Linked DNA regions of Xenopus tropicalis. The protein of the gene in region 5 purifies or fractionates together with the protein of the main gene of each other region. This does not show direct contact. Links are inferred from orthologs where the notes say so. Each region holds a gene or a part of one and is shown on either strand. Other genes may lie near its edges.

Region 1 (4,103 bases), about 52 Mb from region 5:
ATAATCATTTTTAACTTTCTTGTAGTGGTGCATATTTTTATTTGATAGTTGTTGTAGAATAACACTGCCTATAGTGCAATAAATGGTAATTTTAAGGTACACAGCACTTTCAAAAGGTGATGCCTGAATGGCATGCTTTTGTATGTGCTTATTCTATATCCAGAAAAAGCTTGTAAACTGAATGCACCAGTTAGGATCCAACATGCAGAGATAAGGCTTTTTGGATTCTGTTTTAAACACACCTAACACAGCACTGTTCTTGCCTCCTTCTGTTATATTACATATTATTATTAACATTTATTTATAAAGCGCCAACATATTCCACAGCGCTGTACATATCAGTTTGAAGTGTAATAATTGATAGGTTGGAAGACCTAGAAAATGTTTGGTTAAAAGTAGTCCCTGGTGGGAGCCTCTTTAGAATACATACTCATTCATGGCAAACAAAAATAATGGCTATTTAAAGAATAAGTAAACCCCTTTTTTTAATCCCCAAAAAGTAACCGTACAGCCCCAGAATAACATGTCTTTCTCCCTGCATCCGGATCCAGTAGACATTTCTTTGAGGTCTTTAAAGTCTGAGAGAGGAGTTCTCATAAAGAAAAAGGGAGCAGAGCTCATGCTAGGCAAAGAACTCAGTAAATTAACGGCTTGTAATAGAAAAACAAAATAGATCTGCATGCACAGAGAAAGGTATGTTATTCTGGGGCTGTTTAGAGTAAATTTAGGGCATAAATAAAAAAAAAAAAGACTAACTTTAAAGAAAGAAATTATTCATTAATACCAACAGTGAATGTCACAAGCAACTTACCTAGTGTAACCACCATAACAGGGATATTCAGCCTCTGCCTTGTGCTCTGAGACAGCCGCAGGAAGCCATATTCTAAGGAATATTCCACGATGTACTCTTCTTGTGGCCACACTAAAAATAAATATTTTCTTTATGGCAGGCCAGATTATGCACGTGACAGTAGATATTATAGCAAAGGTTTTATTGCTTGCTTTGGGTAACTACTTCACTTGTGAAATTAAAAACCTGAGTTAGTAAACCAGCTCTAGTGTCTCAGTCATATACATCCCAGCACAAAGATCTACTTTTATAAGTGAACAGAAACGCACCTTTGCTAGCAGCATCACTGAAGGACAGTGTCTGGCTCTGGTTTTCAGAGGCCTGAGTAACACTCTCTAGAGATGGCTTCAGGAATACTTTGGGCTCAATATCCAGCTCAAACTATATGGAATAAAAACATTACTGTGAGAAAATTTGAGCTTAACTATTGCATCCAAAGCTAACATTCTCTTGTTCAGTTGGCACAGCTCTGGACATATTTTATTGTTACTCATAGAAATATTTGTTTGCGGGGTGTGAAACAAAACCAACTAATCCTCATTCACTACATTTGAATAAGAACAATGAAACTCGTAGCATGCAAGCAACTAATTGTTCTGTGTGACCGTCTACCTTGTAAAACAGCATACATGGCAGCAATATTTGATTGCTCTACAGGTGGCAACTACCCAAAATATTGAAGAACTGCCTCTACAATTAAATGAAGAAAATGAAAAAATGCCCAGAGTAATATTTGTATCTTCAATTAATACTCAAAACCTAGTACCTTGATGGAGCTATTGTGGTACATTTCCACGCTCATCTCTTCCTCCTCCTCCTCATCTTCCCCAGATGGTTCCTTTACCAAACCTGGAAATGTGTCACTGTCATAAAATTGTAAAAAGATGGGTGCTCGGCTTGAGTTCAGCTGAATCTCCACTCGCAAGATTCCATCCCGAGGCCATTTCTCTCTAACATGCTCCAAGCAGTTGATTGGGGAACGGGAGAATGCAATGTGGATATATGCAAGGATAAACAGTACCAGGAGGGCCTAAGTAACAATAAAATAAAAAAAGTGAAAATATATCTAATCCTAGACCAATCTGTTACAGAAGAGTCTAAGCTCATTTTAAATAGTGCAAAGCTTATCAGGCTAAATTAACCTTTTGTACCCCCCAAACATACCAGAAAGTCTACCAAGCATAAAAAGCCTTACATTACTATTGATGTTCATATAGATATTAGACATTTTCCTCTTTTGAAATAACCTCAAATGTAGACACAAATGAATGACTTATTGGTTGCTATGAGTTACTGCACCTAGACAAAGTTTCCTTTCAAGATTTATTGCATATCATTTTATTCAGGTTTACTTTCTAACTCTTAGTAAGGCTAAATATTTAAGCTATACCGACCAAAGAATAGACTTGAGAGCTGCAGAACAAAATATAAATACCAATCGTAACTTTAGAAAATTGCTTTTACATCATACTAAAATTCTGTCTGAAGTAAGCTGAAAATTCAAGACACCAACTTGCATAGGTACTCCTATTTTTATAAACATTTGAAGTGTAAATGTTTTACCCAAACTCAAGTAAATAATTAGTGATATTAAAATATTGCTTGTGTATTGCATATTTAAGCAAACATATAGGTGGTCTTTACAAATAAATTAAAAACAAATCAATTATTTAAGTGAAAGAAGGAAAAGAAAAAATCATACAAAAAACTGGCTGCATTTCTGGGCGCACCCTTTAATAATCAAGGAAGTGGCTGCATTCAGAATAAACTAATCACATTCAATCTCATCTCAAATAGTAATAGTAGTAGTAGTATACACCTGACATCAATAAATGAGGGTTTAATAAAATTTGGCTGTTCCTGTAGCACAGTGGTTCTCAACCTTCCTAATGCAGCGACCCTTTAATACAGTTCCTCATGTTGTGGTGACCCCCAACCATAAAATTATTCCTAAGACTATCGGAAATGTGTTTTCCGATGGTCTTAGGTGACCCCTGTGAAAGGGTTGTTCGACCCACAGGTTGAGAACCGCTGCTGTAGCATCTTGGTCTCATACTCCAAAAGCCATGGTCTACAAAGAACTTTTAAAGCATGAAAGGGATCTCATCATTATAAGATATAAATCAGGACAGGGGTACAAAAAAAGTATCCAAAAAGTATTAAAGGATCTTTAAACATTCCATGGAGCACAGTGAAGTCAGTCATCAAAAAGGTGGCGAAAATATGGTTCAGTGACTGACCAAGATCAGAACGTTCATCCAAATATTAATGAGAAGACTAGGAGAAAACTTGTCAGGGAGGTCACCAAGAGGACTAAAGTCAACATTATAGGAGCTGCAATTGCAATATGTTGGTTGTTCTATGGGAGATTGCCACCTAGCAACAGCTAATGATGGGGGGGATGTATTTTACCACTGCAGCCATGTTTCTGCATTCTGCTTCTGACATGCTTGCGCCTTTAATATGTGGGAGCAAGCACAGGTTTGCTCAGTGCTGACTGGACAGTATAGAGCAGGAAGGGGATTAGCTGAATGGGAAGATTTTTTTTACCTCAGCGTTTTAGTGGTACATAATTTTTTTCAGCGTATCTTCAGAAGGCTGCCACCAAACCCCCATTAGCCGTTGCTAGATGGTAATCCTACCCCTATAACAAATGTTGTTTGCTAATCATAGATTCCTGCAAACACTTCTATTCTTCATATGTCTGGGTCGTGGGGTAGGGTAGCAAGACGAAAGCCATTACTCACAAAGAAAAACATCTGAGCCCGGCTAAACTTTGCAAGGTATACAGTCTCCCACAACCATGTTGAAAAATGTTTTATGGTCCGATGAGACCAAGGTTAAACTATTTGGCTATAGTTCCAAAAGGTATGTTTGGAGCAAAAATGACAGCACAGCAAAGGGCTGCTATTTATCAGCTGAAACTGGTGCTTTAGTCAAGAAGTATCAGTCTATTTTGTCACAAAAGCTTTAAGCATCTTCTTGGAAGCTGAAGATAAAAAAAGGTAACGTCACCTTTCAGGATGACAACAACCCAAAGCATAAATTGAAATCAACAAAGCAATGGTTTAACCAAAGGAGGAACACTGTTCTGAAATGGCTCAGTTAGAGCCCAGATATTAATCGGATTGGAAATCTATGGGGTGACCTGAAGAGAGCTGTGCACAGGAGATGTCCTCACAATTTCACAGAACTGGAAATTTTTTGCAAAAATAGTCCAGATGTGCCAAACCGACGCTTACCCAAAAAGACT
Region 2 (4,730 bases), on a different chromosome or scaffold from region 5:
TCAACTCGCAACCTTGCAGCTATTGCTGAAATACACCTGCCAAGTGCATGCTGTGGTTGTTCAACCACAGTCTTAGAGGTGTTACAGGCTGGATATGTAGAGATTAGCTTTAATCTGGCCATACATGTTGAAATCTGTTCACGCTCAACCCAATTTGGCCACTCATGCGCAGGGCCAATGGGCAGATCATAGAGCAGGGACTATGAAGACACAATGGATGAGGACTGCATCAATGTGTTGATGCGGTTCTAGTCTAATGGGATTTTCAAACCTGAAAGATATTGGTTGGCCTCCTACATGGGCCAATAGGCTGCCACATTGTCCTGGAGCAGTGCTGTCCAACTTCTACGGTGCCGAGAGCCGGAATTTCTCTAGCATACATGGTGGAGGGCCGCTAATGGAAGCCAGTTTTGACCACTCCCCTTTTTGAAACCACACCCACTTCAAACCACACCTATTTTATCACAATGGTGGTAGCACAGCAAAATCCCAAATGCTTGGTTCTTACTGTGGGGATATCAACCATCATTCATATGTGAAAGAATTATGTCATATTAAGATATAACCTTAAATTTCATATGCCTCCTCTTCCCCTGTGGATAGCAGAGCAACCCCCAGTACATAATTTCACACCTTAGGGACCATTTAATGGCTATTTCCAACTGCTAACAAACTCCCACAACAAACCCCTGCCAGGTTCACCTCCCACAAGCAGCATAGGGCAAGCAGAGTATGGCACACACAGACAGCACTCTGCCTGTCCTATGCTGTCTGTGTGTGCCATACTCTGCCTGCCCTACCCTGCCTGTGTGTGCCATACTCTGCCTGCCCTAACCTGACTGTGTGTGCCATACTCTGCCTGCCCTTCCCTTCCTGTGTGTGCCATACCCTCCCTGACCTATGCTGCCTGTGTGTGCCATACTCTGCCTACAGTACCTATGTCTGAGGTGTGAAGAAGTGAACAATGGGAGTGATTACAGTCTGAGCCTGAGGTGTGAACAATGCAGGTATTAAAAGGTGTGAAAAACACAGGGGATTACATTTTTAAACAATACAGAGGGATTACAGCCTGAATCTGAGGTGAGAACCATGCAGGGGGCCAGTTAATCTCAGTACTGATACCATTTAATGCTTACTCAAAGGTAAGCCATCAAAGCAGCCAGACAGGTGGGGGGCCACACAGAGGGGGGTCGCGGGCCGCCAGTTGGACAGCACTGTCCTGGAGGAACCCAGTTGTCAGCTTTTATTGACCACCTTTAATCTGGTTTATATTCTTTATCTGTTATTTGTATCCCAATTCCTCACTATCTCACCTTTTTAACATCCCAATGGTGTCGTTTGGCCTGACCATAGCCACCTCCTCTGTTTCATTCAGGAACTTAAGCCTGACTGTCATGAGTGCTTCTTCAGGCTTCTCCCGAGTCATCCCCTCTTTTGCAAGTGGCTTTTCCTCCTCTTGTTCTATCTTTCTACCCACAATAAGAGGGCTTTCCGCTTCTTTATCATCTTCCTGTGTCACATCCTGCTCTGTGCCATCCTCCTCTCTCAGTGGTGGCACAGCCTGGCTGCGCTTGGATACCCCCTGAATATCCAGCATCTGATCCAGGTTAGCATTTTCACTGCCAGCTTCCTGCTCTCCACCAGGATCCTGCTCTCCTTCTTCTGGTTTCTCAGCTTGGGCTTCCGCAGGCCTCTGTGGTTCAGGACTGGCAGGTACTGGATTACTGAGTACCAGGAGAGGATCCCTGCGCCCAGTTGGGATTAAGCTTCCTAAAAGGGGGTCACTTCCCTCAGCAACGTAGGTTGAAAGCCATGCCAAGGTGATGGCTAGGAGTAGGATGAAGAGACCAACTGCTACTGTTACCTCATCTCCGAGACCCTCTATCATGGTTGGCGGGGGCGACTCCATGCCCATTTCCTAGAAGAAGGACAGATGGTCACATGTTACATGAAAGAGATACAGTGCCCACCATGCTTTACTAGGGGCCGTGAGCACACTGAGCAAACTATATCTACTGGCCAAGGGCAGGTAGCTATCATCCAACAGCAGAAGGAGGGCTGCAGGTAACATGTACTTCTTAAGCTAGAGATACATGTAAGGATCTGCTTGTTTGGCAAGGTCACCAGACAAGCAGATCTTATATGAGGTGGGCAGTATTGGGCCCATCCGATTGTTTTGGCCAATCATACGACAATGATGAAACGCAGGCCATCGAGACTAGGAAGGCATTAGTAAGCCGATCGAAATCTGTTCAATTTCCAGCCAGGTATTGGTTGGCAGGCCCAACAGAGCACCCCATATACAGGTAGATACGCTGCTGACTCTGAATGGGCCAGATTGCCCCTGAGTGGTAAGCTAAAAGGGGGTACTGTGCGGGCAGGTAGGAATACAAAGATGACCCACATTCAGCCCCCCCAGCTATCTGAAACCACAAACACAGGATGCCACCAACAATCCACTGCCACATAGGGGCCTCCCACACATTGAAGCAGGGGTCTCTCTGTATGATATTATACAATAAAAGGCCCAGACACTGCAGAGACAGGGCATCAGCCTTCAGCCCCTTGATAGACAAGGCCCCAAATTCCTTCTCTCTCAGCAGTCACCTGGCCTCCCACTCATTTTCAGAGCAGTCACAGAGTGACTATGGCACCAATACCGCAGCACACACAGTGGAACCAATGGCATTGCCTATCAACAAAACCCTATACAAGCACACAAACTCAGTCAGGGAATCATAGTCTGAATGGGGCTACAGTGTGCCTGTCACGTATAAACGCTAGGAAGTCGAGGCTACAATGGTACGGCCGGGTGTGATGATGTCACGTAAGGGGGTGATACACGTAAGGGGGTGAGGTCACGGCTCCTGAGTCCTGAGCGGGTCTAAATATGACGTGACGTCAAAAGCGTGTCACTTACCGCCCGGCTTCGCCTGGATCCCTCTTTGCCCAAACCCGAGTTCACAAGGGCCCACCCGTATCTGGAAGGTTGCGTCACTAACTACGCGCCCGGGGAAACGTCACCACACAGCGTCACTTTAGCTGGCCGGAAATAGGAAGTAGGAAGAGAGTAGCGATTGGCAGTGATTGGCGGGTTGTGTCTAGTTCCAAGTTGCTAATGGAACAGAGCAGTTTTACAGACTAGGAAATAGATCTTTCAGTGTAAGTTGGGCTAAAATCTAGTGGGAAAAGGAACAGTAATAGAAACTAGACAATTTCTTCAGATATATCTAGTTCCTAGTTGGTAATAGAACAGAGCAGCTTTACAGATTAGGAAATTGATCTTTCAGTGTAGTTTTGCTAACATCTAGTGGGAAAGGGAAAAGTAATAGAAACTAGACAATTTCTTCAGACATATCTAGTTCCAAGTTGCTAGTGGAACAGAGCAGCTTTACAGACTAGGAAATAGATCTTTCAGTGTAAGTTGGGCTAAAATCTAGTGGGAAAAGGAACAGTAATAGAAACTAGACAATATGGTCAGATATATCTAGTTCCTAGTTGGTAATGGAACAGTGTACCTTTGCATATAAGGAAATAGACTTTTTTTATATAGTTGGACTATGTTCTAGTTGGAAAATGAATAATCATAGGAATTATAAAATATAGTGCATGTAGGATAGATCCTACTTGTTTTTACGGAATTTTTCGTTGCGCGTCAAAAAGGGCGTTGTCACATAAAATCGGGCATGGTCACATCAAAAAGGCGCGGGTGCAGCAAAAAAGCACGGGCGACAAAAAAATAGACACAGGCGACAAAAAATAGACGTGGGCAACAAAAAAAAATAGCGTGACTAATGCGTTTTGTGAATTTTTTGCCGTTTTACAAATTTTCTTGCCGTTTCGCAAATTTTATGGCGAAGCGAAATGGGACAGATTCGCTCATCACTAATCATAATTGTAAAAGAGGCTGTCATTTTATCCCGGTTTAGAAGTGCTGTCACCTAGTGAAATAAAGTATTTCAACTAGCTTGTTGAGAACCACTGCCCTATAAATATAAGCTCCATATCATGATAGAGTCCAGCTCATTGCATGTTAATCAACAAGGGAAGGGATTCTGTTGTAACATCCAGACTTCCAGAACCACCAATTGGCAGATTTATGACTGATTCAAGTCCTGGCTTGAACTGTCAAACTCCGCACCAAGGCACCATGTTGGCAATGGCTTAGAGCTGTAAGTCAGTTTTTTCAGATGTCGCTTCAGTCTTCCAGGATCTCAGAAAACATTTTTCGGCGCTTGTTCTCCCCCAGCTGGCGCTCCTCCCAGTATTTCCTCCGCTTCACAAAGTGCGTCAGGGCAAAGTTGCGGGCGATGTGGTGACCGACAGGATCGTTCTGCAGTTGGTGGAGCTTCTCGACTGTGTGAGAGAGAGAGAGAATATATCAAATATAATGCCGTATTACAGGAAGGGATCTCTGGATCACCCCAGTATAGCTGTATAGCAGACATACCCAGCTTCTGCTCTATCTCATCTTTGACCCTTAAGGTTGATGCCGTCCACATGCGATCTAACACACGGCTGCCATATTTATTGCAGGCCAACTGCATACAGTGACCCTAGGGAAACACAGAAAAGTGACTGCATGGAAAATAAAACGAGGATGATGAAGGTGGTACCTAGCACTGATAGGCAGGTCATGTTTAGTTGGCATTACCCCTACTGACTGGGCACAATAACTGGCAATAGTACTATATTCTTCACTCCTCATTTTAAAGGGGTGGTTCATTATG
Region 3 (4,103 bases), on a different chromosome or scaffold from region 5:
ATTTTAGCACAAAACAACTCTTGCAGTAAAAGCACGAGCTATTGCTGTAAGATAATATACTTATTTGATATGTTTTGGTTTTAACACTATTGTACATACTTTCATTTAAAAAAAAATAAAAAAAAATAACACAATAATAGTTTTAGGGCTTACCGTAGCACAACATGAGTGGTTCTTGTTGTCACCAACATGCACTACAGGAATAAAAGTAATTCATTTTTAATGTGCACAGATAATCAGCAGCTTTTAGATCACAATTCTCTTAAGTGTCCAGCAACAGCATAAAATAAAAATATTATTTCTACAGTTAAAATGCGTACCTGTCCAACCATCACCTAAAATAGGTGATACCTCCTGAGGATGTGTAACATACCACATGAAACAAGTAGAGAACCTCAGAAGTTTCCAGGATTTTAAAGAATTTTTATTTAGTGCTTGAATGAATCTCTGTGAGTATTCCATTTGGGTTTATATTTATTTCTTATTAAAATGTTACTACACAATTTTGGTGCACTTTGTTTTCAGTGGGTATCCACATAAGATAGACAGAAGGTCCCTGATGAAAGATGGATGTTTGGCCTTGCTATTTATGCATCTGGTGATTAGGTGATTTAGCCAGAGTGTGATATTTAGATCACCTACACTTACATGAGATTTGAGCAATCACACTTTTAAGGAAATAAAATATTAAATTATTAAATAGTAATTAAATTAATACTGGCACATTTGCACTTTAATTTACTCTATTGAATGTGTTGTGCCAGTGCTTCCCTACAGAATTGTTGACATCACCTAAAAATAAACTATTTCTTAGCAACAAATGTCCCATTTATATAAGAAAAGTTTTAATTCTATTTCTGTGCTACTAATGCCACTGGACCCTTGTTAATCTCTTTGGCTACGTACTAAATAACATTGTATTCTAAAGAAACGATCCATTTGATCTGATGTGTTTGTAAGATTGAGTAAAACCAATCACAGAGAACACCAACATCAAAAAAAGGCACTTAAACTCTCATATATATATATATATATATATATATATATATATATATATATATATATATATATATATATATATATATATATATACTGGTATTTTAAAGAAAAAAAAAAAAACTGGATTTACCTTACCGTATTTAAGGAATCATTCAAATGGAAAATTCAGCAATGCAGTCACTTTTATTAAATTCTAAAAAGGTACTGTATTTCAAGGAGTGAACCCTTTCTGAGGACTTGTGTTGCTTTATTTTCCTTTTGAGAGATTCCTGCTACCATTAAAAACAAGACAAGACAAACTATAGTCTGACAAAAAGTACAACAGGATATAAGTTAGAAATGCAGACAAACTTAAATGCTAATTGGTAATTATTCAAGTAATAACTTAAATTAAAAGGAGACATTAACGCTATGTATAACATATAAAACTGCTTATCTCAGCACATTGAAATTCACATTGATTACAGAGAAGGGGAGCTAAGCTAAGCATCAACGGACACATCCTACTTCAGTAAAATAAGCTTTTTTACACCTTCATGATAATAGCAGAGACCAGAAGAGAAGTGAGCAATTTTACATTAAATTATATAATAGGGTATAAATACCTTTTAAAAATTAATCAAAAGCAGTATACTAAGACAGGGAGACTAAGAATTTGGTATCTAAATGTGGAGTATATTAAAGCAGCGAGCAGGCTTATGTACCACAGGGAGAAACAATCTGGTATTTTCTTACCTCAGCAGCCATAAAAGCCAATGTGTGCATCCCATGTGTGTATCCAGCAATTGCACACAGCACAGCAAGACCACAACAGGCCAAGAGCATAATATTCAGCAGAACCAAGACACGCATATGGCAACTCATTGGAGTGGTTGGGGAGAAAGATAACTGTAAGAAAGAAAGGAGAAAATCATTTAGAAATATATGCACAGCAGAATCAGAGCTAAATTTTTAGTGCAATGTTTAATTTTTTTCCCATTCTACGTACGTATTCAAACCGATCCTTACAGAGCTGCACCATGAGATGAAGAAAAAGCAATCCAGCAAACCACAAAAACCAAAGGACCACTTCCTCTACTGTCTGGACATTGAGTACCCCAAAGATGAAGATAAATTTATAAAAGATGAAGTTCCAAAACTTGTCCTTCAAGTGCTACAAAAATAAAGAAGGCAAGAGAAGAGTGCAAAGTCAAGATGACTGCAATTTGTAGGATTAAACAGCATACAAGTTGGTTATTAAAGGAACAGTAACATCAAAAAATGTAAGTGTTTTAAAGTAATTAAAATATAATGTGCTGTTGCTCTGCAAAAAACTGGTGTTTTTGCTACAGAAAAGCTACTATATAAATAAGCTGCTGTGTAGCCATGGGGGCAGCCATTCAAGCTGGAAAAAAGGAGAAAAGGCACAGGTTACATAGCAGATAATTAGTAGATAAGCCCCATATAATGGGGGTTTATCCGTTATCGGCTAAGTAACCTGTGCCTTTTCTCCTTTGAATGGCTGCCCCCATGGCTACACAGCAGCTTACTTATATAAACTATAGTAGTCTTTCTGAGGCAAACACACCAGTTGTAGCAATGCAGGGCAACAGTACATTATATTGTTATTACTTTTATACACTTTCATTTTTTGGTGTTACTGTTCCTTTAACACCAACTGGAACATAGACAGTCCTTTTTACCTGTCTCTCTCCAACACGGAGGGGACCAAATACCACATGCTGGATCAGTTTAGCAATCAGCATCAAAAGGCAACACACTGTGTTCACTAGAACCTGTAGAGAAAGAGAGACTGTATGTGGATCCTGTGCCATTATCCAAGTGCAGTTGCCATTATCCAACTTGTAATTGACTCTTTAAATCTTATTGCAGACTGGTTAATACTGGAAACTGTACCCTGGTATACTAATTTATAATGTGTGTACAACCCTAGAGAAATAAAAGGATATTATCACCTGAAAACACTTTTCTTAACATGGGAGGGGTGATAAAGGAAAAATCCTTAAAGGTGTAGTTCACCTTTAAGTTAACTTTTAATATGTTATAGAACAGCCAATTCTAAGCAACTTTTTAATTTGTCTTTTTATAGTTTTTTTTAATTATTTGTCTTCTTCTTGTGACTTTTGCAGCTTTCAAAGGAACGTCACTGACCCCAGCAGCCAAAAAATGATTGTTACTTACAGATTTATTGTTACTTTTTACTTCTTTTTATTCAGACCCTCTCCTATTCATATATTAATCTCTCATTCAAACTACTCTCTGGTTGCTAAGGTAATTTGGACCCTAGCAACCAGTTAGCTGCTGACTCAAGAGCTTGAGAGCAAAAAGTGAAATAAAAAAAAAAACAATAAAAAAATGAAAACCAATTGCAAATTGTCTCAGAATAGTATTTTCCACTTCATACTAAAATGTAACTCAAAGGTGAATTACCCATTTAATAAAGACAAATGCATAAAGAAGCTACAGTAAATATGCATGCAGTCTTATACCTGTACAAAAGTTAACTTACCTGTCTTGTAGTCCCATGTAGTATTTTCATACTAAAACAGGATTTTTGCTACTATTTTAACCAGTCTTACTTTATTTATAAGTCAACTAGCCATTTAAATTTATGTATGTATAGGCACATACACACACTTAAAGGGTCAGTAACATGAGGAAATGAAAATGCACTGAAATATATTACAAATAATGTTCAATTTCACTTTTGTACTAGATCTTGAAATCTTTTTTCCAGTTAAAAATACTTATATGTTAAGGAACTGGCCCCAGAAAAAAATATATTTCTTAAGGCCTCGTATCAGGGGGATTACTATTTAAGTAAATGACAGGCTGAATGGCCCTGATGAGGCAGATTCAGTTTTTATATATGTGCACACTGACATAAGTGTTTCTCATTAAAACCACATATTGTTTTGTCAACTGGCATAAATACCCCAGGGGGGTGAAAGCGCAGATTAGTTGGCACCAGCCAACATGTCAGTGTACCAGTCTGGGTCATTTATAAACACTGGCCAAATCAGCACCTGGACAGTAACCCATGGCAACAACATTATACATTTGCCTTCACTGTTCTCCCTACAGCTAGCTGAAAAGACTAATCA
Region 4 (4,467 bases), about 64 Mb from region 5:
TGGGGAGGCCCGGTTCTGGCGGGGTGCTGGGGAGGCCCGGTTCTGGCGGGGTGCTGGGGAGGCCCGGTTCTGGCGGGGACAACCCTTCTACAGAAAGTCCACATAAAGGGACCTTGGGAACAAGATTCAGATATTTAGATTTTCAAATATCCAGCTCTGCACCCACAGCGCCACCTAGTGGGGAGGGAAGGGCATTACCCACACAGTGCCAGGCTGAGGGCAGGGAGGTGCCACACAGACATGATGGTGCCAGGGGAGGGGCATGGAACATTCTGCCACAGATGGAGCCCAGGCGGGGGGGCACGTGGGTAACTGCTCTCTTTTCCTTTTTTTTTTTTCGGTCTTGGGGTTTAACCGTTTATCCGCTGCCTGTGGCTGAGGGACCGGGGCCCCCTGTCTACTTTGGTGCCAGTTTGCTCCCCCGTAGGTGCGTTTCCATGTGGGTATTTATAACTACCCCCCCCCCGGGTGCCACGGAGATGCTGCAATGGGCAGGGTGGGAGGAGCCCAGAGATAGCAAATCAGGACACTTTAGGGTGAGTAAAATAATCCCCAATGCCCCTGTGACCCGCCCCCCCCATCCAATGGAGCAGTCAGAAATCCAGTGTATCATCTCCCAATATGGGCAAATGCTTTATTTACCCCCTGAGCCCCAAGTGCCAGCCGCCCGACTGCCCAACAGCGCCGACACTTTCATGGGGCTCATCCACACAACATGGTCATAGTTAAGGCAGTGGCTCTGGAGCCTAGGTCAGGTGACACTTACAGAGGATGCCGATTGGCTCTCAGACCCTGGAAGCCCGGCGTTAGGCATAAACCATAAATCTGGCACCCTGCTATGGGTGGGGGGGGGGTTGGGGGCAAATACTGAAGAGAGGCTTGAACCAAAAATTCCCCCAATTAGCACTGATTATAGGGAATTACATACGGCCAGTAAGTACGGGCTAGCGCCTCCTGCTGGTTCAAGCAGAAATCAGCCAAGGAAAGGGGGAGGGAGACGGGAATCAATATGGCGGCACTCAGAAGAAGCCCAGTTCTGATAGGTGGGTGCTGGTCTCCAGGAGGAGGGCCTTCCCATAAACCTTCACTGTGTAGAACAAGGTGAGAAAGTCCTGGGTGCTGAATATGGTATCGGCCAGAGCAAAGCCCAGCGTGGAAGGGATGAACCCCCGGCCGTATTCCACCATCCACGTCCCAGCGCTCCACTGCACCGACGTGGCCTCCCCCACCTCATGCACAATGGTATCTCCTGCAATGAGAAGGGCGGAGCTGCATCATTAGGGGCCACAAACAGGGGAGAGTGGGCACAACTGGGGGGCACAGGGCACAACTGGGGGGCACAGGGCACAACTGGGGGCACAGGGCAAACTGGGGGGCACAGGGCACAACTGGGGGGCACAGGGCACAATGACTAAACGTGAATGGGGGGGCAGGAGGGTCGGCTGGGTAAATGAACATTTCACATACAGATATGTTGCCCCCACGTAGGGCAGATGCAAGACTCTCCCCCCCCAGGCCAGTACCTACCTGGATAAAATATCTCACTTTTTGTCGATCCTTCTTTCCACTGGCGGAACGTTCCGGATAGGATGGTGTCGGATATCTCTGCCCAGTAACGACCTGTAAAGCAGCGACAAGTCACTGTGTGGCCCCCGGGGGCCCCTCCTTTCCCAAACACATTCAGCCCCAATATGGCGCTATTTCGCCCCAGAGAAGAAGGGGCCCCCAAATCCTGCATTGTACCCCAGTCAGGAACCTCCCCTATTAGCCCCCTGGGGGGGGGGGGGGGCAGCCTCATGATTCCAAGGCACAATGACTGCAGGGACAGAAGAGGCAAATGATTCTAATTGCCCCGAGATGGTAACGAGCTCATAAGAAGCCAGCGGGGCATTTGGCCAATTAACTAATTGCTCGGGTTTATCTGTGGCCCCAGAGACCCCCAAGATGCAAAGGGCTGGGCACCTTACGGCCAATGCTTGGGATTTGCCCACATTCACAGAACTACCACCGGGGGCCCGGGGGATCTGCGCTCGGGGGGCCCCTATTTACAGGGGGGCAGTATTAGCTGCTGGTTATGCCCCAGGAACGGCGTATCAGTCACATGGTACCAGGGTCACAGGGCAGTAATCGGCCAATGGCACCGACCCAGAACCCGACCCAAATCCCTGCCAAAACCAGTCCCCAAAGCCGAGGGGCCGTGCACTCACCTGAGTGGCCACTCGTATCCACAGCAGTGCCAAACAGCAGCACATACTCAGTGAGGGAGGCATGGAGCAGGCACATGGAGCCCATCCAGCCCCCCGCGTTCACAAACACCCACTGTAGGTCCTCGTCCGGCAGGATGCGCCCCGGGTGCTTCTTCCTCAGCTCCGTGATGATCTTGGAGAAAGCGACTTCATAATCCAACCCTACGGGGAACGGGAGTTAGATACACGGGGCACCCCGACACCCACACAGATACACGGGGCACCCCCACACCCACACTGATACACGGGGCACCCCCACTGATACACGGGGCACCCCGACACCCCCACTGATACACGGGGCACCCCCACACCCCCACTGATACACGGGGCACCCCCACACCCCCACTGATACACGGGCACCCCGACACCCCCACTGATACACGGGGCACCCCCACTGATACACGGGGCACCCCCACACCCACACAGATACACGGGGCACCCCCACACCCCCACTGATACACGGGGCACCCCGACACCCCCACTGATACACGGGGCACCCCGACACCCCCACTGATACACGGGGCACCCCCACACCCCCACTGATACACGGGGCACCCCCACACCCACACAGATACACGGGGCACCCCCACACCCACACAGATACACGGGGCACCCCCACAGATACACGGGGCACCCTGACACCCCCACTGATACATGGGCACCCCCACAGATACACGGGGCACCCCCACACCCCCACTGATACACGGGGCACCCCCACAGATACACGGGGCACCCCCACACCCCCACTGATACACGGGGCACCCCCACAGATACACGGGGCACCCCCACACCCCCACTGATACACGGGGCACCCCCACAGATACACGGGGCACCCTGACACCCCCACTGATACATGGGCACCCCCACAGATACACGGGGCACCCCCACACCCCCACTGATACATGGGCACCCCCACACCCCCACTGATACACGGGGCACCCCGACACCCCCACACCCCCACTGATACACGGGGCACCCCCACTGATACACGGGGCACCCCCACACCCCCACTGATACATGGGCACCCCCACACCCCCACAGATACACGGGGCACCCCCACACAGATACACGGGGCACCCCCACACAGATACACGGGGCACCCCCACACAGATACACGGGGCACCCCCACACAGATACACGGGGCACCCCCACTGATACACGGGGCACACCCACACATAGATACACTGGGCCAGGGGGCACCCCGACACCCCCACAGATACACTGGGCCAGGGGGCACCCCGACACCCCCACAGATACACTGGGCCAGGGAGACACCTACCTGTGAATGTGCCTGTGGGTCCCTATTGTAGGGATCCCAAGATTTGGGCCCCTTTAGAGCGGCACCAGAGGGGGGCCCTGTTGGATATGGGCACCTAAGGGGGGTCCTAGCTGTTTGTGTGTGAAAAGGGAGTTTCCCTGTAATTCAGCAGTAACCACTAGGTGGCAGTGTGCTGCAGGATAAAGGGGATGGCTCACTGTAAGGGCTTTGGCCCTGGGACCCCCCTCTGATAGAGGCTAAAGGCTCCCGTTAGAGAGTTCAGAGAGACCGGTTATAGTCACTCTCGGAGTGAGAGATTAGACAGAGTATCTAGTAAGGGCAGTCTGAAGCCCCAACAGGAGATTAGTGAGGTTATTGCCTCCCGGCATCACTGGCCGGAGTTCAGGGACACTAAGTGGCCAACTAAGGGGGTAGCCAGGGGCCACGGAAAGGAGATTGGCTAAGGGGGGGTCTCTTGGCGAGTGTACCGGGGAATAGGCCTAAGGGGGGGTCTCTTGCGAGAGTACCGGGGAATAGGCCTAAGGGGGGGTCTCTTGGCGAGAGTACCGGGAATAGGCTCTAAGGGGGGTCTCTTGGCGAGAGTACCGGGGAATAGGCCTAAGGGAGGTCTTTGGCGAGAGTACCGGGGGAATAGGCCTAAGGGGGGTCTCTTGGCGAGAGTACCGGGGAATAGGCCTAAGGGGGGGTCTCTTGGCGAGAGTACCGGGAATAGGCCTAAGGGGGGGGTCTCTTGGCGAGAGTACCGGGGAATAGGCCTAAGGGGGGGTCTCTTGGCGAGAGTACCGGGAATAGGCCTAGGGGGGGTCTCTTGGCGAGAGTACCGGGAATAGGCCTAAGGGGGGGTCTCTTGGCGAGAGTACCGGGGAATAGGCCTAAGGGGAGGTCTCTTGGCGAGAGTACCGGGGAATAGGCCTAAGGGGGGTCTCTTGGCGAGAGTACCGG
Region 5 (4,123 bases):
AATGGAGCTGGGGAGAATCAGAGGTAAAAGTGGAGAGAAAAATATAAAAGAAGGTGGTTGAGCAAATGTGGTCTGAGGTACAAGAAGCACAAAGAAAAAATTAAGGGGGGGGTAGAAAGTAAAAGGGATAGAAAAAAAACTAATTATAAAATTAATGGGAAAGAAGATAAGGCTGATTAGAAGAGAGACCAAACAGAAAGACAAAGAAAATCATTGATAATGTAAACAAGTGGGCTAACATTAGGGGAGAGGTAAAGATGGATGAAAAAATAAAGAAGCAGGGAGCAAAAAAACTATTCAAAGTATTTGAGCTCCCATATTTGTAAGTCACATATTACATAGTTACATAGGGTTGAAAAAAGACCATTGTTCATCAAGTTCAACCCATCCGAGTAAACCCAGCACACAACCTATACTAACCAATCTATACACTCACATACATAAACTATATATATATACAACCAGTAATACTAACTGTAGATATTAGTATCACAATAGCCTTGGATATTCTGCTTGTTCAAAAACTCATCCAGGCCCCTCTTAAAGGCATTAACAGAATCTGCCATTACCACATCACTAGGAAGCGCATTCCACAGCCTCACTGCCCTCACCGTGAAAAACCACCTACGCTGCTTCAAATGGAAGCTCTGTTCCTCTAATCTATAGGGGTGACCTCTGGTGCGCTGATTGTTTTTATGGGAAAAAAGAACATCCCCCAACTGCCTATAATCCCCTCTAATGTACTTGTACAGAGTAATCATGTCCCCTCGCAAGCGCCTCTTTTCCAGAGAAAACAACCCCAACCTCGACAGTCTAACCTCATAGACTGTCGTATCTTTTCTGTCTGAGTGTTATTAAAAAAAGTGTGTGTATGTGGGGGGGGGGGCTGGCTTAAATAGGGTGTTTTATACTAAAGTGCTTTCCGTTTGTTTGTCATTAGTATATTCTTATTTAGGGCCGTGGCAGACGGGTAGATTAGTCGTTGTGCGACAAATCTCCCCGAAATGCCATCCCACTGGCTAGAATGTAAATCGCCGGTGGGATGGCATACACAGCAACGAAATCGGCAAAGTTTCCTCTGAAGGCGATTTTTTCAAATCGCTGCGCCGCGTATGCCATCCCACCGGCGATTTACATTCTAGCCGGTGGGATGGCATTTCGGGGAGATTAGTTGCCCACAACAAGGGAGATTTGTTGCGGGCGACTAATCTCCCCGTCTGTCACGGCCCTTAGAGTTGGCTAACGCTGGTTAAGGGGATTGATACAGTTATGCATTTCAAAGAGTGCGTCTGCATTTTTCTGTTAGATCCTGTCTTTTACATGTTTATTTCACTTATACAGGGTTTTCAGGGTTTCGGATTTGGTGATGGGGGGTTCCAGATGTCATTTGGTATTGGAGCATTCCCTTTTGGAATATTTGCCACAGCCTTTAACATCAATGATGGCCGCCCTCCACCAGGTAACATTTTCTTTCATCAAAATGGCCATATACATAGAGTATAAACATGCTTAGTTGTCTAGGTAACAGAAAAAAACTTGAACTTTTGCTGATGCCGCTATGCATTGAGCCAAATAAAGTATATCTGAGTAAATACTGATGTGATCCTTGAGCCCAGATTTGGCCTAATCAATTTTTCACAAGTCTAAACAGATGATTGGGTAAAATTACTGTTTCAAACTCAAGAACAGACTGATAATCTAAGGCTAGTGGCACACAGGGTTGATATTACTTTTGCATTGTCATACAAAATCCACTTGATGTGTGGTGCACTTGCACAAGGAGCTTATGGACACACATCAGCTTTTCTAAGCAGGCAGAGAAAATCCAGTCATCAGTCCCATGTGCAGTTAGCTTAAATTGAGGATAAAATGAAAAAACAGCAGCACTCCGGAGTCCCATGTGCAGTTAGCTTAAGGATAAAGTTAAAGGGGGTCCCATTGTATGCAACTATAAGGGATTTTTAGTCAATATTGATGATAAATTTTGTATAAACAAACCCCTAATTTTTGTAATCTGCATCAGGATTTCAGATGCTAAATGCTAAAACCTGGCAGTCATTTAAAGCAGTAAGATTAGTTTGAATATCGGACGACAACATTTAAACAAGATAGCAACGCTTGCACACATCCCTATATACTAAGGTGACCAGATCACTTAAGAATTTAGGGACATTTAATAAATACATGTTGCAGGGCAGTACTGATTTAATTTAAATTAAATTGCAATCAGTTCAGCCATGCTAGCTTGATTTTTTAGACATGTCCCTAAATTTTCAGGTGATCTGGTCACTCTACTATATACGCCAAAAAGTGATCAACAATACCCCAGATCTATATCCAGCTGCAAAGCTATCTTGCCCTAACAGGTAGAAACCCTATTTCCTCTAATACAACCGATTTATATAGTATCAATGGGTGCCCCTCTTCTCTTGCATTGTTCCTAGGTTTAGATATATTTTATAAAAACCTACTTTCTCTGAGCCACCTCTATGTACTTTTCAATTACTCTCCCTTTAAATAGTTTTTGCTTTCCAACAATTTTGTCTGTGGTTACAGCAGTCTCAATATCTTGACTTGTTATTTTTTTTCTTACAGCAGTTCCTGGGACTCCACAATATGTCGATGAACAGTTTCTCTCTCGTCTCTTCCTCTTTGTTGCCTTGGTGATTATGTTCTGGCTGCTAATTGCATGATGCTGGCTCCATGTGATAAAGACTAGGTTTAACAGACTGCATACCTTTCCTTGAAAATCACAAATCTGCCATATTATTACTCTTGTCATCAAAATGCGCCATTCTTGATGCCGTGCTCCACAGTTTGTAATGGATGACAGTTGGGTGCACTACATTTAAAATATATATATATATTAGAGAGAAATAAATAGTATTATTGACTAGGGATGAGCTTTGTAAGAGCAGGGTTTTCTGGAAAAGCATTGCAAAATGACAACAGGAAGGCAGCAGTGTAAGAAAAATAATACAACCAGTTGTGTAATATCAGGATGCAATTTGACTCACTTCAATATAACTTCTATAATGAATCAAATTACACTAGAAGATCAGATTACGTAGCTGACAAGGAGAGTGGAAGCCTGATTGGGAGTGAAGCACTTTCAGAGTCAAAATATGGAACCAAAATCACAAGATAAAGTTATTCAAGAGGATGAGTGATATAGGCATAACAGCAGAATAGAAGTTTGTACACAAATACCTAAAAGTCTCCAGATACTGAACTACTGTAGAAGGAACAATGGAAACCTCAGAACTGTGCAGAACACAGATTAATGCAACAGAAGAATGCCTGACCTGCAAGTGAAGCATATGGTGTGGAGTTGGAGATATTTTCTGGCATTTCTGACACCAGACACAGCCCGATGTGTAGTCACCTCCAGTGAAGAGAATGCTGTTCATACTGTATTCCCTAAGAACTTATGACCCAGGTTGGGCTGAAATGATGTTGATTCCTCAATTTTATGAGATTTTAATATTTAAATTACAGTTAATTAAATGATACTTTTTGAAAGATATCTTGAAGTACTGCTAAAGTATATATGAATATAAAGAAATTGAACATACTTTAAAAGGGATCCTATCACAAATTCCTTGGGGTTTTTTTGTCCTTTTTTTTGTATATATGATTAAATAGCACGATGCAGTTTGCAGAGAGACATAAGATATTTTTATTTTCTTGGGTTATTAGTCCCTGTCTTTGCTGAGCTTATATCTGATACTATCCTTAAAGGCACAGTAACAACAAAAAATCTTTTGCTTAACTTTTACTCCTCCATAGATTTTTAAGGGGCTTAACCCAAGTATTTTATTTACAAAATGCCCTGCTGCAGCTTTTAATAATGGGTGATCAAGCAATAGGCACCCTGCATTTCTCTGAGCTGTGAACTGAAAGAGGAATCAAAAGTTTGACTGCCAAAGATCCTCCACTATGAAACTGATTTCTGTTTCAGTTGTGATTTTAGGGGCTACATTAAAGCGAAGTATAATTCTGGGTAAAGCAGTTAAAAAATCCAAAGGGGAGTCATTTTTACATATTACAGCAGTTTAGGGGTGGATTAATTACTACACGATTTTGGTGTCACCTTATGTGGTTTAACAGATGTAAAAAAAAA
Region 6 (4,756 bases), on a different chromosome or scaffold from region 5:
ACCATGTCCACAAACATCTCCAAGCCATAGTCCTCTATTATACAAGAAAAGATGCATGCAGATTCTTTGGATGGCCAAACAAAGCTTTAATGCATTTATTCCATGAATGCAAAGAAAACCACACCTAACAGAAGGGTCCCCCCTGAAAGCTTATATGCGGCTTTTGTTTGGTCCACCAAAAAATCCGAGTGTCTCTACAGTACTGTTAAGTCTTCTTTCAAATACTGTAAAACACCTGTATGCATCTAATTCTTTCCAGCAAACAGGAATGAAAATAAACACACCTCCATCTGAAACCAACACCTTAGCAATGCTAACACAAATGCGGATAAAAACAGTTAAAAAGAACGTTGGCTTTAGAGCAATAAAGGCTAAGTACAACCAAGTCACAAAGACTTAGCGGCAAAGAAGCTGCACTAACACCCTCTCTGGGCTCCAAAATACCAGAACAGGAATATTATATATATTATTATGGGACACTGGGCAGGTAAAGGAACAACAAGTCCCACAATCCTTCACTTTTGAGCAAGAAACATGTTGGGGTAGAGAAAAGGCTTTGGTGCTCTGAGGGGTGGGTATGTGTGAGTCAGGGGCACATCTACATTTGCCAAGGTTTCACATGGTTTTCTCTCACAGGGAGGAAACATGAGTATAGATGACTATACAATCTATACAATAAATAAAAAAAAATTTCAGTTATTAAGTGTACATGTATGTAATGCCACCTTTTACCAACAATAAAACATTACTAACTACGATATATATGTGGGTTCCGACCTGCACATTTACATTTTGTAAAAAGCATACTGGGGAGCACAATTTTCCTCTGTACTTTACAACTTGTCCCCACCTTTCTCAGCCAATGGATAATACATTGCCTATGTATACCATGCTGTGACCTGCCAACATTATGAGCCTGAACCACTGTGATGCCCTTTAAAAAAAAATTAAAAAAAAATAACCTGAGACCATTACCTTGTCATTCTTCACTTTATATGCAGCACAATTGGCAGTGATGGAGGTTTGGGTTTTCTTGTATGTTCCTGTAAGTAACTAAAATAAAAGAACACAGTGAATTTAGAACAAAAATGCTCATGGATTTAGATTATACTAGTAACAGAGAAATGTTACTAGAATGGATTATAAACCAGAGGAGGAGCAGCAGCATTTTTACATGGATACCGTAACGTTGGTCCTGTAAGAATCCTGTGTAACCATCATCAAGCAAGAGATGTAGATGCAAGCTATAGAAGTGTACTAGGAGCTGTAGCAACAAGTTGCTGATACCCACCTACACACACACAAAGCTACAGAAACAGGTTTCTAAAGAACATACAAAAGCAGATTATATATATAAATGTATTTATTTATTTGGAGCTGTAGAAGCAACTGCCAAATTTTATATATAGTGGGAGGTGTAGAAAAAGATGTATATCTTAAACCATAATAGAGAAAGTGTTTGTGAGCAAAACAAGCATAAAAAAAGTCCTGGGGGTGGCACATAAGAGCTATGATTGGCTATTTGGTAGCCCCAGTGTGGACTGGCAGCCTACAGAAGGACTGGTTTTGGCATTACACCAGGTTTTTATGCAACCCAAACTTGCCTCCAAGCCAGTAATGAAAAGATAAGCACCTTCTTTATGGCAACTGGGAGCAATATTCAAGGAGTTTGTAAACAACATATTGCTCACAAGCCACTGGTTGGGGATCTCTTAAACAGCAGGCTACAATTAAAATGCTTTCTTTTATGCAGGAAGGGTGCTCCAAAAAAAATAAAATTTTTGCAACCGGTGGGCAAGAGTAGCTTCATACAGAGCAACTGTACCCACGTGTTGGTAGTCATACCCTGTTGAACAGTAGAGTTTTTCCCGAGTCACACACTCCAATAAGCAGCACTGCTCTGCGGCTGGTCCGACTGCCTCGCAGAATCTTCCATAGAACTGAGGAGAGAGAAGACAATGTGACGCCCTTCCCAAAACACCAAGCAACTATACTAGAAACGAACAGCTCATGTTCCTTTGCTTTATAACCGGAAAAAAAAACAATAAAAAAGCACCTGTTATTACTTGCGCTATTAACCCAGATGCCTCACTTAATTTTTGAACTCATTTATACAATAGCAAATCCCAGGTTACTGACAGATGCAGCACTCTGCACCGCCCTTTATCTTTACAAAAGTTAAGCCTCCAAAAGGTTCTTATACAGGCAGTAATAAGGCAACCTCAGGCAATAGCACCATAATGGATTTGTCGAACTACATCTTTAAGCAAAGTTATTTGTAGTTGGAATTGCTATTGTAGTACAGGTATCGGACCCCTTATCCAGAAACCCATTATCCATAAAGTTCTGAATTACAGAAAGGTCATCTCCCATAGACTCCATTTTAATCAAATTCACATTTTTAAAAATGATTTCCTTTCACTCTGTAACAATAAAACAGTAGCTTGTACTTTATCCCAACTAACACATAATTATGTAATTAATCCTTATTGGAGGAAAAACAATCCTATTGGGTTTAATTACTATTTAAATAATGTTTTTAGCAGACTTTAGGTAGGAGATCTGAATTACGGAAAGACCCCTTATCCAGAAAATCCCAGGTCCTGTGCATTCTGGATAATGGGTCCCCTATCTGTCTGTTCCCTAACATTTGGCATCCCTCAGTGATTTCTCCTTTCCCTTCTACTTGTATCAGAAGTCAGAGGCCTAGGGGCCTAATCATATTTAGACAAAAATACACTTTAGGGACAATAACATCAGGAGCCATTTAACCTGTCAGTGCCCACACACTCAGGTACCACATGTTCCATGGCACAGTACATTGTGGGTACCAAATGGGGGTGGAGGAGAATTCCCCTAGCCGAGATGGTCTGCCCCACACACACCTTCACCACAGATTCACAAACCAATACAGTATCGCCTAAAGGTAGGGCACTTGGCTATTTCTGTCAGTCACATCATAAGTCCCTTCCCCATCTCCTCACACAACTGTACCCGGCTTGGAAAGTTGCCACTCACCAAAGCTAAGCACGACAACAATTAGGGCGATCCCCACGGAGAGCAAGGTCGGGTCTTGCTTCTGCAGCTCCTGTGTAATGAACTCCATGTCCGGCAACCACCGAGAATCATGTTGAACCTGAGGCTCCGCCATTATTCACACGTAGCAGTAACTAAGCGCAGCGCATGCGTACTCCTGCCCTAGAGATGCATTGCGCAGGCACCGACTAACAGTGACGTGTAATTCTCTCAATGAGAGCCGCTGTTCTATAGGCGCGGTGCAGGCCGGGATATTATCGAGCAAATGTGTTCCCTGGTGTTTGAGCTGCGCTGCTGCGCGTCTTAGAGAGTGGAATGAATTAAGAATACATATTTCTATTTTGTAGTATTACATTTCAAATGTTACTTGCGCATCATTAGTTTATACACGGACCTATTTGCCAGTGGGGTGTGACTTGATATATACCTGTTGCCTATAGGTATTGTGGGAATACAGTCCCAGAAAAGGAATGGCATAGTTCAGGGATGGCCAATACGTCTATTGCGGTCCACCGGTCGATCCCCCGTGGATTTCTGGTGGACAGCTATGAAGCCGGGATGTGGAATTGCGGCGTGAATGAGTGCGTACGCTGCGTTGCCTACATACACATTCACGCCTCACTGCCGCATTCCACGGTCATCGGTCAATCGCGACTGAAAAAAGTCTGGCCACCCCTGGCATAGGTTGTGCTCTTCTTGACCACTTCCAGTTGTGATGCAACACTCAGTACAGCGCCAAACTTCAACCCCATTGAAAGCTACAATTTACAGTGGGGATATTTGATTGGTTACGGACAGGTTAATGGTTCATGATGTCGTCAACTCTAATGTACATTTTCTTGTGATTATGATAAGGCCCTTGTTTATAAGCTCCAGTGGGGCAGGGACAGACATGAACAATGCAGGTCATGTAGAAATTTATGCTGTAAGGCATCCTGACCATTAAGTTACTCTAATGCAGCACCAGTGGCTTGTGAGCGACATGTTGCTAACCATCCCCTTGGATGTTGCTCTAAGTGGCCTCAAAGTTGGTGCCCTTTTTTTAATTTGTGACTTGGAGGCATGTGTACTGCTAAACAGAGCTTGTAGTAGTCTGCCATTCCACATTGGGCTACAAATTAACCAGTCCTTATTGGTCACTGACTAGAAAAGTTTTTTGTGCTTGTGTTGTTCCCCACCTTGTTTTTATTGAAATGTTGCTCACTGGTAAAAAGGTTGGGAATCTCTGCCCTAAGGAATAAAATAATTACTATTCAGACTACTCCCCACAGTGGTGCCGTGATGTTTGGCAGTCTTTGCCCACAGTCGGCTGAGTTGGGATAAACCGGTGGATGCTATATCTTTCTGCTTTACCATAATTGAACCTGCCTAATCCATGCCACCTGTATTTGTGAGTATTGCATAACCCTGTGGATCATAGTGTTGGACAATAAATCAATTTCAGTTCAGTTCAGAACCTTCTGGTGTCCATTTATTCATTTACTTTGCACACAGCCTTAGTGAGTTGTAGTTTCATTACATCCTCCCTTGATCTTTCCATGTAGTGAAAGCCCACCCTGTGTGTTAGAGTCCAATGTACCCCATGCTGTATTTACAGCCTCACTCTTCCACATCCACAATTTCCTCTCCATTTTAACCATCTTTCGGGCTTACATTTTATCCCTTCCCAAAACCACCATCTCAGTACCTCCACTTTTCCACTTCTCAACAAACTACTCCC
Region 7 (4,103 bases), about 8.1 Mb from region 5:
TAAACCAGGTAGTTATTTTTGAATTCCTGACTTGGTCGTAAGTTTAGGTTGAATAAAAACAAGATTTACTACCAAATAAAGCCCCTGTAAGCTGATAGTGTGCATAGAGGCTGCCTAATAGCCAATCTTAGCCCTTATTTGGCACCTCCATGAACTTTTATGGTGCTTGTGTTGCTCTCAGAGTCTTTTTACATTTGACTGTGGCTCACGAGTAAGAAAGGTTGGGGACCCCTGCTCTAGTGTAAGGCTTTTTGGAAATCTGAAGCAGCGTATAATCACCTAGGTTTAAACATGTATAACACACATTTCAAGTAAAATCTCAAGTCACTTCTGTTGCAGAGAAAGAGGTAATAAAAGTATTTCCCCCAACTGCCCAACTGAGACTGCTTTAGGGGGATTCTGTCATGATCTTTATGGTGTACTCTTTGTTTCTAAATTACACTGTTTACATAGTAGGGATGCACTGGATTCACTATTTTGGGATTCGCCCAAACCCCAAAAACTTTGTGAATGTTTAAGGCCTAATACCGAACTGAATCTGAATTCTAATTTGCATATGCAAACTAAAGCAAGGAAGGTGTAAAAACAACCGTGCACTACGTGTGTATGTGAAAAACTTTCAACTTCCGCCTTAATGTGGGAAAAGTCACATGATTTTAAGGATTCGGCCAAATCCAAATCCTGCCGAAAAAGACCAAATTTTGGCCCAATCCCAAACCGAATCCTGGATTCAGTGCATCTCTATTATATAGCAAATAATTCACTCTGCCATTTTAAACGTTATTCTTGAACCAACAAAGGATTTTTTTTCTAGTTGTAATATTGGTGTGTAGCCATCTCAATGCACTGATTCTGAGCGTTCAGAAAGAGGCAACGCTACATGTTAGAACTGCTTTCAGATAAGCAATTGTTTCTCCTACTCCCATGTAACTGGAGAAGTCCCAAGCCGGACTTGGATTTCTTACTATTGAGCGCTATTGTGATATTTACCACTTTTAGCACTAAGGGTTTCAGGGAGCTGCTATCATGTTACCTTCCCACATTCTTCTGGTGATCGATATATATATATATATATTGCAATGGAGAGCCGGCACTCGCGTTGTGTAGGAGCCAATAGTGCCTGGGTGCAGTATGAAACGATGTGGTACAAAGGAGAAAAGATGCCGCACTCACAGGTCTTAGTGCAAAAATAAAGAAAAATTTATTTAAACAGACTAACGTTTCGGCTGTGGCTACAGCCTTTCTCAAAGTGAATACACATGAAGAGCAACCCACACTTAAACCAAACTTGGCGCCAAAATACAGTTACTGACGTCATAGCATAAATTAGTTTAACACCACCCACCCACTGTGCAGGAAATAAATAAAAAATAAAGAATAATACATAAAAGTATCTGAGTAGAGAATATTGTGTGTAAGATCATTGTGAGAGATAGAAATGTACACAGAAAATACAGGAAGATAATGGAACCAGTAGAGAAAGTAGCAAGCAACCTGTTATGCTGAACTGCAAGTCCCACGCATCGCAGAGAGGGTGCTGAAGGGGCAGTAGAAGATCCGATCCAAAAATTAGCCGGACAAATTGGTGTAGTAGTTAGGGTATAGTATATGCTCTCAACTGGTGCTATGCTCCGTGAGCCAGTTGACAGCATATACTATGCCCTAACTACTACACCAATGTGTCCGGCTAATTTTTGGATCGGATCTTCTACTGCCGAAACGTTAGTCTGTTTAAATAAATTTTTCTTTATTTTTGCACTAAGACCTGTGAGTGCGGCATCTTTTCTCCTTTATATATATATATATATATATATATATATATATATATATATATATATATATATATATATATATATACTGTAAGTTAACACAAAGCTTCATAGTTGAATATTAGACTTATAAAGAGAGGCAATGCCAAGATTAAAAAAAACAAAAACAAGTTTTAAGTAGCTAAAGAGGCACACCTTACCAACCACTTACATAAATGTTCCTTCTGCTAGCAGCTGTACAGAAGCCAGCCTGTAGTGACCTAAGAAAAATATATCCGCCGTATATAATAAAAGGCACTAAGTTTGCCTAGGACCAGCAACCAATACGATGTTTGCTTTTAAACAGGTGACCAGTAAATGCTACCTTTTGACTTGTAGCTATGGGTAACTGGACCCTACATAACCCTATAAGTGTTTCCATTGACTATAGCAACCAGACAGCAGTTTAAATTTCAGGTTTGAATAAGGCACAATAGAAAAGCATATCCTAATGCACAACACACAGACCTGTGTATATACAGGATTCAAATGAATATATGAAAATATCTAAATTTCACTTAATGTTTTTAATTAAATATTAATTTTGCATTTTTATTTATATATATATATATATATATATATATATATATATATATATTGGAAAACTATGTTCCAATATATAATTCACATACAGGATGAACTTTTGACATGCCATACATATAATGAAAAGAAGCTGCTGCGAAATGTTGCCTGGCCTAATGCATTCATGGCCTAATGTGGTCATCAGCTTCCAAGATAATTAAGTCAAATTCTATGCAACTTCTTTACTTTTATCTTTTTTTGCTTTTACCTTTGATAATCTAAAGGTGGCCATACAGGCACTGATATTATACAAAGATACTCTTTGCGTTAATGGTGGGAGACAAGGCGATCAGTATCAGTAAAAGCCTTGGATATTGGTAGTCTCGTCTATTGCGCAGGACTAAAAATTTTGATCAAGTGCCTTTGGAGGTGCCCAGACATCATAACATTAATGCTGAATTGTCAGATAGGGGAAAAGAATTCCTTTGTTTTTACCTGCATATCTTACTCTTAACGTTAGTAGCGTGGATGAACGATCTATTTTTGTGATCTAACTGTAACGTATGTGGCCACCTTTACTCTTTACTTCATTGCCCGAGTACTAGGAGGGAAATAAGGCCTTGTACATATAAATCTTGTATAGCTTTGCCTTCAAATGCAGATCCATTCAGCAGAAAATGGGTTAATGATAATGAATAGAAAGGTCTCTTCTATCAGGAAGTTTATACAAAGAGCAGCTCACCTTATCTAGAGTATTTTAATAGGACATCTGGCACCCTTGCTTTAAATAACCTGCCAAATGTGTTCTGCTGACTGCATATCAACCACTTACCATCAATTCCAAGAACCTCTAAGAGATCCGTCCATATCCTCCAGAGCGTCTCTACTAACACATCTACTCCATACACAAACCTCTCTGTTAGCCGGGAGAAGAACTAGACAGGAAGAAAAAAATATATACATTTAGTTTCTGTTATTTCTAACTTCAGATGCAGAAGACAGTAACAGTTATGAATCATTTCTAAATAATAAGACTTTCCCCAGCCACAGCACGCAGAGTACTTTTTTCTCAGGTCCAGGAAGCCTTGAATTTGATCTTAAATATACCTAATTGTGAGACCACACTATTACAAAAATAATTTCTGCTTGTATGTATGTTTAAATAAAACGACAAAAAGAGACATTTAAACAATACACATATACATACGGACATTTGTACAATGTGTTAAAAAGAAACACATAAAATTAGGAGTGCTGGTCCTGATATTCTATCATTCACACTCAAAAGTTTGAGTACAAACAGTACTCTTCTTCAGGGATAAACCAACAGACTGAATACCAACACGCAATTTAAGTACCCTCCCACAAAAATGGTGCCAAAAAGTGACCCTGGTAACTATAGCAACCACTGTAAATAAACAGCATAAAGAAAAGAAGCAAAAAGAGGCAAAGACATATAATAAAATGAGGTAAAAATAGGTGAAACTATAGTGCTACAAGTGTTACAGTTATGTGTAAGTGGTTATTAGGTTTCAACACATGTATCAAATGAAAGAATGTTGCAAGAAGTATCTAAACATTAAAAGTATAGGGAATAAGTTTTATAAGACATATCAGGGACAAACAAAGCAATAACAGCAGGACTCAAGGCAAATCGGGGAGAATAGTATCGAATCACCCGCATAAACTCCTAAAGGACAGAGTCATGCATGTCTGAAACTGGGTGTGCATCACTTGCATGAGCAGTGCCCAATCATGGATGCACCAAGTCAC

The links.
Region 1: the proteins of rnf185 (region 5) and tmem259 purify together in Homo sapiens (affinity purification with mass spectrometry; 3 studies listed by BioGRID and IntAct, counting the BioPlex papers as one, with this or other methods). This does not show direct contact. The link is inferred for Xenopus tropicalis from reciprocal best matches to the Homo sapiens genes RNF185 and TMEM259.
Region 2: the proteins of rnf185 (region 5) and tmub2 purify together in Homo sapiens (affinity purification with western blotting; 3 studies listed by BioGRID and IntAct, with this or other methods). This does not show direct contact. The link is inferred for Xenopus tropicalis from reciprocal best matches to the Homo sapiens genes RNF185 and TMUB2.
Region 3: the proteins of rnf185 (region 5) and amfr purify together in Homo sapiens (affinity purification with mass spectrometry; 3 studies listed by BioGRID and IntAct, with this or other methods). This does not show direct contact. The link is inferred for Xenopus tropicalis from reciprocal best matches to the Homo sapiens genes RNF185 and AMFR.
Region 4: the proteins of rnf185 (region 5) and sigmar1 purify together in Homo sapiens (affinity purification with mass spectrometry; 3 studies listed by BioGRID and IntAct, with this or other methods). This does not show direct contact. The link is inferred for Xenopus tropicalis from reciprocal best matches to the Homo sapiens genes RNF185 and SIGMAR1.
Region 6: the proteins of rnf185 (region 5) and srprb purify together in Homo sapiens (affinity purification with mass spectrometry; 3 studies listed by BioGRID and IntAct, with this or other methods). This does not show direct contact. The link is inferred for Xenopus tropicalis from reciprocal best matches to the Homo sapiens genes RNF185 and SRPRB.
Region 7: the proteins of rnf185 (region 5) and bri3bp purify together in Homo sapiens (affinity purification with mass spectrometry; 3 studies listed by BioGRID and IntAct, with this or other methods). This does not show direct contact. The link is inferred for Xenopus tropicalis from reciprocal best matches to the Homo sapiens genes RNF185 and BRI3BP.

The regions. Positions count from the first base shown.
Region 1 is NC_030677.2:100,361,660-100,365,762, reverse strand, and holds part of tmem259 (membralin), read right to left. Parts: intron 1,881-4,103; coding exon 1,617-1,880; intron 1,232-1,616; coding exon 1,120-1,231; intron 923-1,119; coding exon 812-922; intron 1-811. UniProt on the Homo sapiens protein: May have a role in the ERAD pathway required for clearance of misfolded proteins in the endoplasmic reticulum (ER). Promotes survival of motor neurons, probably by protecting against ER stress.
Region 2 is NC_030686.2:18,479,099-18,483,828, reverse strand, and holds the start of tmub2 (transmembrane and ubiquitin-like domain-containing protein 1), read right to left. Parts: upstream 3,028-4,730; 5' UTR 2,921-3,027; intron 1,919-2,920; 5' UTR 1,916-1,918; coding exon 1,314-1,915; intron 1-1,313.
Region 3 is NC_030680.2:51,707,900-51,712,002, forward strand, and holds part of amfr (E3 ubiquitin-protein ligase AMFR), read right to left. Parts: intron 2,775-4,103; coding exon 2,682-2,774; intron 2,153-2,681; coding exon 1,988-2,152; intron 1,888-1,987; coding exon 1,735-1,887; intron 195-1,734; coding exon 154-194; intron 1-153. UniProt on the Homo sapiens protein: E3 ubiquitin-protein ligase that mediates the polyubiquitination of lysine and cysteine residues on target proteins, such as CD3D, CYP3A4, CFTR, INSIG1, SOAT2/ACAT2 and APOB for proteasomal degradation.
Region 4 is NC_030677.2:215,919,047-215,923,513, reverse strand, and holds the end of sigmar1 (sigma non-opioid intracellular receptor 1), read right to left. Parts: intron 2,409-4,467; coding exon 2,208-2,408; intron 1,621-2,207; coding exon 1,528-1,620; intron 1,250-1,527; coding exon 1,020-1,249; 3' UTR 610-1,019; downstream 1-609. UniProt on the Homo sapiens protein: Functions in lipid transport from the endoplasmic reticulum and is involved in a wide array of cellular functions probably through regulation of the biogenesis of lipid microdomains at the plasma membrane.
Region 5 is NC_030677.2:152,009,622-152,013,744, forward strand, and holds the end of rnf185 (E3 ubiquitin-protein ligase RNF185), read left to right. Parts: intron 1-1,341; coding exon 1,342-1,459; intron 1,460-2,595; coding exon 2,596-2,693; 3' UTR 2,694-3,526; downstream 3,527-4,123. UniProt on the Homo sapiens protein: E3 ubiquitin-protein ligase that regulates selective mitochondrial autophagy by mediating 'Lys-63'-linked polyubiquitination of BNIP1.
Region 6 is NC_030681.2:129,992,468-129,997,223, reverse strand, and holds the start of srprb (signal recognition particle receptor subunit beta), read right to left. Parts: upstream 3,230-4,756; 5' UTR 3,152-3,229; coding exon 3,019-3,151; intron 1,941-3,018; coding exon 1,846-1,940; intron 1,054-1,845; coding exon 976-1,053; intron 1-975. UniProt on the Homo sapiens protein: Component of the signal recognition particle (SRP) complex receptor (SR). Ensures, in conjunction with the SRP complex, the correct targeting of the nascent secretory proteins to the endoplasmic reticulum membrane system.
Region 7 is NC_030677.2:160,067,753-160,071,855, forward strand, and holds part of bri3bp (BRI3-binding protein precursor), read right to left. Parts: intron 3,266-4,103; coding exon 3,163-3,265; intron 1-3,162. UniProt on the Homo sapiens protein: Involved in tumorigenesis and may function by stabilizing p53/TP53.